Stegostoma tigrinum: one gene and its partners. The protein of the gene in region 2 interacts with the protein of the main gene of each other region in a pairwise test. Links are inferred from orthologs where the notes say so. Each region holds a gene or a part of one and is shown on either strand. Other genes may lie near its edges. The genes, in order: calcium/calmodulin-dependent protein kinase type II subunit delta, transportin-2 and apip.

What was found.
Region 1: the proteins of transportin-2 (region 2) and calcium/calmodulin-dependent protein kinase type II subunit delta interact in binary tests that used the Homo sapiens proteins (3 or more experiments, as listed by UniProt). The two-hybrid records come from large-scale screens. The link is inferred for Stegostoma tigrinum from reciprocal best matches to the Homo sapiens genes TNPO2 and CAMK2D.
Region 3: the proteins of transportin-2 (region 2) and apip interact in binary tests that used the Homo sapiens proteins (3 or more experiments, as listed by UniProt). The two-hybrid records come from large-scale screens. The link is inferred for Stegostoma tigrinum from reciprocal best matches to the Homo sapiens genes TNPO2 and APIP.

What each region holds. Positions count from the first base shown.
Region 1 is NC_081354.1:65,026,675-65,030,425, forward strand, and holds the start of calcium/calmodulin-dependent protein kinase type II subunit delta, read right to left. Parts: upstream 2,254-3,751; 5' UTR 1,710-2,253; coding exon 1,645-1,709; intron 1,075-1,644; coding exon 980-1,074; intron 1-979. UniProt on the Homo sapiens protein: Calcium/calmodulin-dependent protein kinase involved in the regulation of Ca(2+) homeostatis and excitation-contraction coupling (ECC) in heart by targeting ion channels, transporters and accessory proteins involved in Ca(2+) influx into the myocyte, Ca(2+) release from the sarcoplasmic reticulum (SR), SR Ca(2+) uptake and Na(+) and K(+) channel transport.
Region 2 is NC_081388.1:23,996,934-24,000,684, forward strand, and holds the start of transportin-2, read right to left. Parts: upstream 2,925-3,751; 5' UTR 2,818-2,924; intron 1,044-2,817; exon of another isoform or gene 952-1,043; intron 892-951; exon of another isoform or gene 754-891; intron 1-753. UniProt on the Homo sapiens protein: Probably functions in nuclear protein import as nuclear transport receptor. Serves as receptor for nuclear localization signals (NLS) in cargo substrates.
Region 3 is NC_081370.1:13,301,493-13,305,243, reverse strand, and holds the start of apip (methylthioribulose-1-phosphate dehydratase), read right to left. Parts: upstream 2,622-3,751; 5' UTR 2,599-2,621; coding exon 2,581-2,598; intron 1-2,580. UniProt on the Homo sapiens protein: Catalyzes the dehydration of methylthioribulose-1-phosphate (MTRu-1-P) into 2,3-diketo-5-methylthiopentyl-1-phosphate (DK-MTP-1-P).

The DNA of each region.
Region 1 (3,751 bases), on a different chromosome or scaffold from region 2:
GTAAAAAAAATGCCAGGATGCAAAAATAGAGGTGGGAAAATAACAGTAGCTATATCCGTCCTGCAGAGGGCTAGTATGAACATGACAGAGCAAATGGCCTCCTTCTGCGCTGGAACTATTCTCTGAAGCTCAGTTTAAGTCGTAAGGGAGCTTTAATGTTCTCTTCCCCCAGAAAACGGTGCGGGCGAGTGGACGAAATCACGGTCTGACAGAGCGTATATTCGCTCATTCCTCTGAAGGCTTCAAAGATTCGATCCTATCCCAGCAGCAGTTGGCCACTGGAACTGACAAGACCTACAGGAGCCCGTCAGCCACTCCGAAAAGCCAAGTCGAGAATGAGGAGGAGAAGAAGCCTTCACGGAATTAGAACACAGCATCCATAATTCATCCCTTTAGTGATATGAAAGGCCTCGGCACAGGCAAACTTTCAGGCGTATTAAATATGTATCAGGCCAGGCTATGGATTAAATCGCCCAGAATCAGCATAAGGCAAAATGTTTCGCAGTCATTGATTCCACTGAAGTTGTGTGTTTACACGCAGAAGAAATTGCCGTTCCCCCACTTTTACAGATTTGTCCGAAAAAGGGGCGTTGGCAAACTGATTGGAATGTTTCCCAGTCTCAAATACTGACAGACAAATAATAATGCAAGTCTTAACTCGACGTAACTGGCACAACTAGATTTGCTGTTCACTTTTATCAGTGACTTCGCTTGGATGTGTTTCAGCTCACTTTGCATTTCCACAAATTAATTCCGTAGAACTTACCCGTTTCCAATACAGCGCGTAATGGGGGGGGGGGGGGGGGGCAATTGTCAACTCCATTCAAATGACAGCAACTTGCAAGGATTATAACAATTCTGCAGGTGCCATCTATTCATTCCAGGAGATAACTATTCTGACCTTTGCACGCGGCATATTCCTGCAATGCACCCAACATATTAACAGTGGAATGTTACAAAAACGTTGATATAAACCTACCCCTGGCCGACAGTTTTTTGGTATTGATAATTTTGGCAGCGTACTCCTGTCCCGTGGAGATTTTCATGCATCGTCTCACCACCGAGAAGGCTCCCCTGAAAGCAATCGATCACACAAGCATGTATGTATACATATATATCATTCAAGCAAAAATAGTACAAACAGACAACCCTCACCACATTGCAACGCGGCTACAAACCAGCTAAAGCGCAAACAAGTGGAAAGCCAACGTTAAAAAAGCAAAACAATACAGCCCAAAGTATTGAGAACGTGTTTACCAAACACATTTCAGGTGGATTTTGTCAACAAAACATCAAGGGAAACATTTCAAGTCACTGGGCGCAGAATCCGGATTACGATGTGAAACACCTCTCCCCACAGGAGGAGAAAAAGGGACACCATGCATTTTGCTGGATTTTACGTCGTGAGATGGTAGCAGTATCCCACAACATGCCTCGACATTTCCAATAACATTTAACAAAACGTAACTATGCATAACCGTAAGACTGCACTCCGTGAAAATATTATCAATGCAACCCATCTCCTCCACGCCAGAATACCAATGCTTATCGCCAAATTAAGAAAATTTCGTTTGGAAACGCAACTGTGTCAATTCAAACAAACAAAACAGACAGAAATAAAAACGACAAGATGTGTTTGCGTACTTTCCAAGTTCCTCGAAGAGCTGGTATTCGTCCGTGAATCTGGTACACGTTGTGGTTGAAGCCATGGTGAGATGTAGACGAATTCTCGCTGCTGTCTCCGGTGTGTGTGTGTGTGTGTTCAGTCCCTCTCGCCGCTTCACCCCTCCCCCTGCCACCGGGCTTTCAGAGAGAGACCTGCTTCACTGACTCAAGGTGTGCAGCTCAGAGCCGCCGAGCTTCTCTCCCCGACCCTAGGGGGCGGATTTGCAGCCGTTTGTCCTGGTCGAAGAAACTGTATGTGTGAGAGAGACCCAGTCACTGTGACGGCACGGTCCCTCGCTGTTCTGTGTCACTAAAAGCGAAAGCAGTTTCCTCTGAGCGTCTGCGTGTCAAATCAAACTGAGCCGCCCTCCCCTAACATTGTAGTGTAGCCTACACTCAATCAGTCAACCTGGCTCTCCCTCAATCCCTTACCACCTCACTCTCTCTTATTTATCTCGTATAGGAGATATCAACGTGTGTCTCTATCTCTCCCTCCTCCCTACCAGAGTAGGGAAATGAGAAAATAAAACCCCATCTCTGGATTCTCTCAACATCTCGCGATATATTTTACAAAAACCCCAGAGCGGATTACTACAGGCTGGAGGAGGAGAGAGACTGACGTCAATGACCAAGCAGGGGAAAAACTTGGATTTTACATTTCAAAAGACAAATGCTTATGAATAAAATAAATCGCTAAAGTCTGAGCCGAAAGCTCAGCTCAAGGCGCAGTCTTTAATTTCAAGTGTTAAAATATTATCCCTTCCTTAGTTCAGGTTATTAATGGCATTTTCAGATTGTTTCAGCAAGAAATATCAAACTGATATGCAGCCTGGTGTCACTTATAGACTAATATCAAGGGGCTAATTTACTGAGGACTGAGAGCCTTTACCGTTCTTGCTCGCCAGTTCATCCATTCTGTTTTTATTCCTCATTGTATGGTAGCGTCTCATGATTTTGTTTTTAAAATGCCGTTCAGATTTTCTAATGCAGCCTGCTTTTGCCACAAGAGAAACTTTGCTTCATTAGCGGCGACGTGGAGTGTGTAAAGTGGTGCTCTCTCTCCCCTATACTCAATCACCACTAGGAGAGAATGTGTCACTCCGGTGCCCTTACCGAGCAATGAGACTGCACCCTTTCTCCCTTTCGCTTCTCCCTCAGAAAAAAAATGCTAGCTGCATCGCTCACCGCTGCCGCAGTGTTAGAGGCAGCGGCAGCCAGAACCAATCGCTATGACTGTATTTTACAGCAGGGACCAGGCTAGAGAGTTCAGAGTCAAATAATGGCCGAGGTTAGAGTTGGGAACATTTATTTTTAGACACATTTCTGCTTGAATTTATTTTTGTTTGATTTTAAAATTCATTCGGGAAAGTAAACAAGGTTGGTAGAGGAGTGCTGCTTGCAACATGTAAGCAAAAAAAAGTATCAAATATGAAAAAAATGCGTATTTTTTCCCAACAGCCACTACTTTGGATTTCAACTCTATTTGCCTATCTTTGAAGATTTGAAAAATGCAGAAATACCAAACCTTCCATGGACATTGGAGATAGCACTACAGTTGTCAGCTGTGCCTGAGTTAGCACATTAATGAACCAGGAGGTTGTAAGTTTAAGGAACTTCCATTCCAAAGACTTAAGCTCATAATTTATGCTGATGGTGCATAGTACTGAGGAAATGCTGTCTTTCAGCTGAGGCATTATTCTGGAGGCCCGTTGTCTGCTGTGTCAGGTGAATGGTCAAATAATACCGTGTGGAAGAAAATTGGGTTAGTTCTCCGAGTGTTCTCTTTTACATATTCACCCAAGGGATGCAGCTGTCCCTGACTGGGCCAAGATTCAGTACCCATTCCCTGTTGCTCTTGAGAAGGCAGTGGTGAGCTGCATTCTTGAACCATGGCAGTCCATGTACTGAGAGGTGGCAAATGGAGTTTAATGCAGACAAGTGTGAGGTGATGCACTTTGGTAGGATAAAATAATCAGAGGGTTAGATAGGGTGGATAGGGAGACCCTTTGTCCTAGGATGGTGACGGCGAGCACGAGGGAGCATAGCTTTAAATTGAGGGGTGAAAGATATAGGACAGATGTCAGAG
Region 2 (3,751 bases):
GTTACTGAGGGACGGTCACAAGAAATGAGGATGGGCTAATTCACTTCACCAGGTCAGCCACAATGTAGACACCTCACCCACACTTTCACCTTTTTTTTTGCAACAATCACACCACCATCCCTGTATTATGCCACCCTGCCTGCATTCCCCTTCTCCTCCCCCTGAATGCCTCATTCTGATCTCTGAAATAGCAGCACTATCAGCACCACAAGTCCCCACAAAGAGATGAGTGTTCACTGTTGTACTGAGTGGGATTAGATTGAGCAGCCTCAGCTAATATGGAGAAGCTCCAACCATTTTGTCCCAACAATCCTTACCAATGCCTTCCATAACAATACTGTCAAATAAAAAAGGCGCGGACACCGCAAATGCTCCACGATCCGTTATCAAGCACCAGAATGCCTGTTTGTTGGCAAGGTTTGGTCAACACCAGCACACTGTCAGGAAATGCTGAGGGCGAGTTCTCAAAGCACAAACAGCCACCAATGCCCAGACCCACAGTACGATATTGGTCAGGAGATAGCAGCCAGGACACAGTGAAGGGTCAGGCGGAGTGAACCCAGGGAGTTCATGTCTGATGGGACAGGGTTTGATAGAGAAGGTTTATCCCCACGAGGTAAATACCTTACCCCCAGGGACACAGGGAGAGACAGGGAGAGACACAGGTAAAGCGTGTCCAGCGATTCTAAGGCCCCGGCCCCACACACACACACAACCCCACCCCCCTTCTCTTTCCCCCCCCGTCCAACACACCATCCACCTCTCAGGGATGGAGGCCGCAGCCTCGGGCCTGTACTCGGGCTCCGTCAGCGAGGTAGGAACCCGGCCAGAGCACAGGCCGCAGCCTCGGGCTGGCGGAGGAGCTGAACCCCCATTCCGCGAGTCCAGGCCTCGGGCTCTCCTTCCTCCTCCTCCTTCCTCCCTCCCTCGCTCGCTCGCTCGCTCACTCACCAGCCGCAGGCCAGAGCCCCGGCGTCCTCGGGCGGTCCCTCCCCACAATGGGCTCCTCACGCCGCCGCCGCCTTTACTCCGCCCACTTTCCCCCAGTCCCCGCCCACATCCCGCCAGACCCACCCTCTCCATGTGGCCCCGACTCAGGGCGCCCCCTTACCATCCCCTACTCGACCCGTGTCAGGGTGACCTCCCATCTCCCTGTGTACCCAGTGCCCCCCTGCCCCCTCCCCATGTACCCGGTGTCAGGGTGACCTCCCCCCCATCTCCCTCTGTACCCAGTGCCCCCCTGCCCCCTCCCCATGTACCCGGTGTCAGGGTGACCTCCCCCCCATCACCCTGTGTAACCAGCACAGCCCTGCCCCCTCCCCATGTACCCGGTGTCAGGGTGACACCCCCATCTACCCAGTACACCCCCTGCCCCTGTCCCCATCTCCCTGTGTACCCAGTACCCTCCTGCCCCCTCCCCATGTACCCGGTGTCAGGGTGACCCCCGCTCTCCCCATGTACCCATTGCCCACCTGCCCCCCTCCCCATGTACCCGGTGTCAGGGTGAACACACCCATCTCCCTGTGTATCCAGTGCCCCCCTGCCCCCTCCCCATGTACCCGGTGTCAGGGTGACCCCCCCCCCCATCTCCCTGTGTAACCAGCACAGCCCTGCCCCCTCCCCATGTACCCGGTGCCAGGATGACCTTCCCATCTCCCTGTGTAACCAGTAACCCCCCCACCCCTGCCCCATGTACCCGGTGTTAGGGTGACCCCACGCATCTCCCGGCATACCCAGTGCCCACCTTCCCCTGTCCCCGTGTACCCACTGTCAGGGTGACCTGCCCCCCCCATCTCCCCGTGTACCCAGTACCCCCTGCCCCTCTCCCCCTGTACCCAGTGTCAGGGTGACACCCCCATCTCTCTGTGCACCCAGTGCCCGCCTGCCCCGCTCCCCAGGTACCCGGTGTCAGGGTGAACCCCCATATACCTGGTGTCAGGGTGACCCCCCTCATCTCCCTGTGTACCGACTACCCCACTGCCCTGCTCCCCAGGTACCCAGTGTCATGGTGATCCCCCCATCTCCCTGTGTACCCAGTGCCCTCCTGCCCCCCCTCCCCATGTACCCGGTGTCAGGGTGACCCCCCCAATCTCCCTGTGTACCCAGTACCCCCCTTCCCATGTACCCAGTGTCAGGGTGCCCTCCCATCTCCCTGTGTACCCAGTACCCCCCTGCCCCCCTCCCCATGTACCCGGTGTCAGGGTGATCCCCCCCATCTCCCTGTGTAACCAGTATCCCCCTGCCCCCCTCCCCATGTACCCGGTGTCAGGGTGATCCCCCCCATCTCCCTGTGTAACCAGTGCCCACCTGCCCCTGTCCCCATCTACCCGGTGTCAGGGTGACCCCCCATCTCCATGTACCCAGTTTCGTGCCTGCCCCTGACCCCGCATACCCGGTGTCAGGGTGACACCCCATCTCCCCGTGTACCCACTGTCAGGGTGACCCACCCCCCCATCTCCCTGTGTACCCAGTGCCCGTCTGCCCCTGTCCCCGCATACCCGGTGTCAGGGTGACCCCCCTATCTCCCCGTGTACCCACTGTCAGGGTGACCCACCCCCCCATCTCCCTGTGTACCCAGTACCCTCCTGCCCCCCTCCCCATGTACCCGGTGTCAGGATAACCCCCCATCTCCCAGTGTACCCAGCACCCGCTACCCCCTCCCCATGTACCCGGTGTCAGGGTGAGCCCGCATCCCCCTGTGTACCCAGTGCCCGCCTGCCCCTGTCCCCAATGTCTGGCCCACCCCGTACGTGCCCTGTGTGTGTGTATGTGTATGTCTCCCCCGTGTTGCCCAGTGGTGCCCCATGCCCCCGGTACCTTCCTCCCGCTTTGTCTCAGTCTCTGGTCCCGCCGCCCGGCCCCGGGTTTAAATTCTCTCTGGCCAATCGGACTTGCCGCTTTTGCCACGTGATCGTGTCCCGCTTTTACCCGGCGGTCTCCGCGCTGTGGACCGGCATGCTCCGCCGAGACACGTGGTCTCCCACAGACCTTGGTTCCCATGGAGACGGGGCCTGCTCTCGGGATTCTCATTGAGGGAGTTTCCCCGAGTGAGTAGCAGGTAGGCGGGCGCTCCCTGTTTCTGATGCCTTGGGACACTGTATTAAAACAACAACAGTTCCTTCCCCCTTTGTCCATCAGTGACGCTCATCTCTGGACGGGAACACACGGCCACATCCACCAGTTGCCTTCGGTCTCCCCTGAATTTGTCAGAGCTCCTTATTCTGTACCAAATCAAATTTAAACACGTTTTCCATGTAATGACCATGAATCCGTTGTTGATTCTACCCTTACCTGGTCTGACCTACATGTGACTGCAGACCCACAGCAATGTGGTTGTGTCTTAACTGCCCTCTGGGCAATTAGGGACGGGCAATAAATGCTGCCTAGCCAGCGACTCCCTCATCCCATGAATGGATAAAACAGAAAGATAGGTGAAAGTTGCTTCCCTTGGTGAAGATGTCAATAATCGAAGTACACAAACTGAACAACAAAATAATGAAAGGCAATGCGAGGGGAAATCCAGTAATAGTAAAAGTGATTAGGGTCTGGAACATATAGCCTGAAAATATAGTGGAAGTAAACTCATTCAGAGCTTCCAGATCAGAATTGGATAGAAGAGAAAAAGATTTTCCCAGTTCCAAGGACAAGACAAGGCAAGGCAACAAACTGCATAGCTGGATGAACACAGCAGGCTCAGGAGCACAAAAGCTGACGTTTCGGGCCTAGACCCCTCATCAGAGAGGGGGATGGG
Region 3 (3,751 bases), on a different chromosome or scaffold from region 2:
GTTTAGGTTTCCTTGGGTTGGTGATGTCATTTCCTGTGTTGGTGATGTCATTTCCTGTTCTTTTTCTCAAAGGGTGGTATATGGGCTCCAAATAAATGTGTTTGTTGATGGAGTTCCGGTTGGAATGCCATGCTTCTAGGAATTCTCGTGCATGTCTCTGTTTGGCTTGTCCTCGGATGGATGTGTTGTCCCAATCAAAGTGGTGTCCTTCCTCATCTGTATGTAAGGATACTAGTGATAGTAGGTCATGTCTTTTTGTTAGTTGACGTTCATCTACCCTGGTGGCTAGCTTTCTGCCTGTTTGTCCAATGTAGTGTTTGTCACAGTTCTTGCAAGGTATTTTGTAAGTGACAGAGATAATGGGAACTGCAGATGCTGGAGAATTCCAAGATAATAAAATGTGAGGCTGGATGAACACAGCAGGCCAAGCAGCATCTCAGGAGCACAAAAGCTGCCGTTTCGGGCCTGGAACCTTCATCAGAGAGGGGGATGGGGAGAGGGAACTGGAATAAATAGGGAGAGAGGGGGAGGCGGACCGAAGATGGAGAGTAAAGAAGATAGGTGGAGAGAGGATAGGTGGGGAGGTAGGGAGGGGATAGATCAGTCCAGGGAAGACGGACAGGTCAAGGAGGTGGGATGAGGTTAGTAGGTAGCTGAGGGTGCGGCATGGGGTGGGAGGAAGGGATGGGTGAGAGGAAGAACCGGTTAGGGAGGCAGAGACAGGTTGGACTGGTTTTGGGATGCAGTGGGTGGGGGGGAAGAGCTGGGCTGGTTGTGTGGTGCAGTGGGGGGAGGGGACGAACTGGGCTGGTTTAGGGATGCAGTAGGGGAAGGGGAGATTTTGAAACTGGTGAAGTCCACATTGATACCATATGGCTGCAGGGTTCCCAGGCGGAATATGAGTTGCTGTTCCTGCAACCTTCGGGTGGCATCATTGTGGCAGTGCAGGAGGCCCATGATGGACATGTCATCTAGAGAATGGGAGGGGGAGTGGAAATGGTTTGCGACTGGGAGGTGCAGTTGTTTGTTGCGAACTGAGCGGAGGTGTTCTGCAAGCTTGGGGACCGCTGCATCCCTAAACCAGCCCAGTTTGTCCCCTCCCCCCACTGCACCACACAACCAGCCCAGCTCTTCCCCCCCACCCACTGCATCCCAAAACCAGTCCAACCTGTCTCTGCCTCCCTAACCGGTTCTTCCTCTCACCCATCCCTTCCTCCCACCCCATGCCGCACCCTCAGCTACCTACTAACCTCATCCCACCTCCTTGACCTGTCCGTCTTCCCTGGACTGACCTATCCCCTCCCTACCTCCCCACCTAAACTCTCTCCACCTATCTTCTTTACTCTCCATCTTCGGTCCGCCTCCCCCTCTCTCCCTATTTATTCCAGTTCCCTCTCTGATGAAGGGTCCAGACCCGAAATGGCAGCTTTTGTGCCCTGAGATGCTGCTTGGCCTGCTGTGTTCATCCAGCCTCACATTTTATTATTTTGTAAGTGACGTTTGTTTTGCTTGTTGTCTGTATAGGGTCTTTTAAGTTCATTCTATGTGGTTATATGTGGTTAAGAAACAGAGGGGTTCAAATTATGAGGTGAGGGGAGGTTTGTGATGTCCCGACAGAGCACATTTAAGTATTGTTTGTTTATACTGCTTTTCTTTCCTTTAGCTGGAAAGGAAGAATGATTGGTGGGAGGATCAGGAAACAAAGGACATTGTTTGAGTGTGTCTGGCAAAAGAGACAATGATGGCATGAGAAAAGTCATTATTATTCAGACAGTACGGTAGTCAGGATCTGAAATAAACTGTTAGATGATCTCACAGAAAACTGGGCACACGTGCTAAAAACATTGAATGCTTTCAATGAGCTAGATAGCATTTTAAAGGCTAAAGGGAACAAAGAGAATGGCAAAAGTGGGCATAGGGGTACTGACTTGCATGATCATCATGATCATATTGAACAGAGATGTGGAGGTGTCAGTGTTGGACTGAGGTGGGCAATGCCAGAAGTTACAGAACACAAGGTTGTTGTCCAATATTTCACCTGATTGAAGGAGCAGGGCTGAAAAAGCTTGTGATTTCAAATAAACCTGTTGGACTATAACCTGGCAATGTGCAACTTCTGACAGTGAATAGTGGTGTGGGCATGATGGGCCAAATGGCCTACTGCTGTTCCTATGTTCCATGTTTGACACGATGGACCGAATGGCCTCTTTCTGCGTTGTTACTTGTCCATGACTGACCTTACACCGTACAATGGCAAAATCCTTAATGTAACCTCTTTGAAAGGTCTATTTTATAGAGGCCTCAGACAATATGGTGCAGACAAGCTGGGGAAATATCAGACGTGGAGGAAGAAGGTCAGACCGTATAACATTTCACCAAGGGAAAAACAAAACGGCCTGTATCGACTGCTTTCTTGCTGCCAGATTGCTGAGCTTCTCCAGCACTTTCTGTTTTTGTTTCTGATCAACCAGCACACGCAGTTCTTTGTTTCATAAAAATAGGCACAAACTAAACTAATGTCCGGCTGAAATCGGCACAGCAACAGCCCCCGTTCTCCCTCTCTACCGCCCACGACCTCACCTCCAACTCCGGCTCCATGTCCTCTCAAAAGGGGGCGGGACGGAGCGTGCAGGAGGCGGGACGTTACGTGAATGGGGGCGGAGTGTGATCGAGTGAGGCGGGGCGTGGAGGGTCAGGGCGGTACGTGCTGTGGGGGTGGGCGTGAGGTGATGGAGCGAAGCGTGCAGGGGTGGGGCGGAGCGCTCAGTTTGCTGGGTAGCGAGGGTGGGGGAGGGCAGGAAGGGGGCGGGGCGCAACGTGCAGTGGATGGGGCGGAAATCCGTTGGTCGGGCCCACAGCGCAGGTGCGGGGCGGAACTTGCCAGCGTGGGAGGAAGGCGCAGCGGTGGGGCGGAGCTTGTAGTGGATGAGCGGGACACAGCGTATGTTTGGGCCGTGTAGTAAGTCCTCCTTTGCTTGGGTACGGCCATCATGGCCGCTTCGCTGCTCGGCTCCCTTAGTGTCCTTCGAGTGGCCCTTACGTCTCGGAGCCTCCCGCTTTTGGCCGTCCGCTTAGGTCACTGCCGGTATGTGGGCTCTAGTCGCCGGCTTTTGGGTGAGTGAGAAAAGGGCAGATAGAGACGGGAAAGATGAAGGGAGGATATTGAACGAGGGGTAGGGAATTGGGGAAAGCTCGTGGGTGGGGTGGGGTGGGGCGCTGGAATGATATGGCGCAGAATATGGGAGCTAGTGTTCAGAATGAGGCTGAGGGGACAACAGGCCAGAATGATAAGGAAATGGTGGTATTGGTGGAAAAATTGGTGGTGAAGCAGGGACAGAATGGTATTGTGTCTTGCCACCCGTAGTTTCTGGGTGTGTTCTTTAGAGGCTGACGTGATTTAGTGTGTATGAGAGTATAGCACCTTCTGGTTTAAGGAGAAGAGCCTTGTGGAGTAAACGAAATACAGTTTATTGTTAATTTGCAACCAATTAAACGTTATAACGTAGCTTCTATGTCATGACAAGTGTTGGGAATAAGCGATGGTAGGAACTGCAGATGCTGGAGAACCTGAGATAACAAGGTGTAGAGCTGGATGAACACAACAGGCCAAGCAGCATCAGAAAGCTGATGTTTTGGGGAGTTAGGGAGTGGATAGGTCAGTCCAGGGAGGATGAACAAGTCAAGGGAGTGGGATGTGGCTAGTTGGTAGGAGAGGGGGGTGGGGCTTGAGGTGGATGGAGGGGCTAGGTGG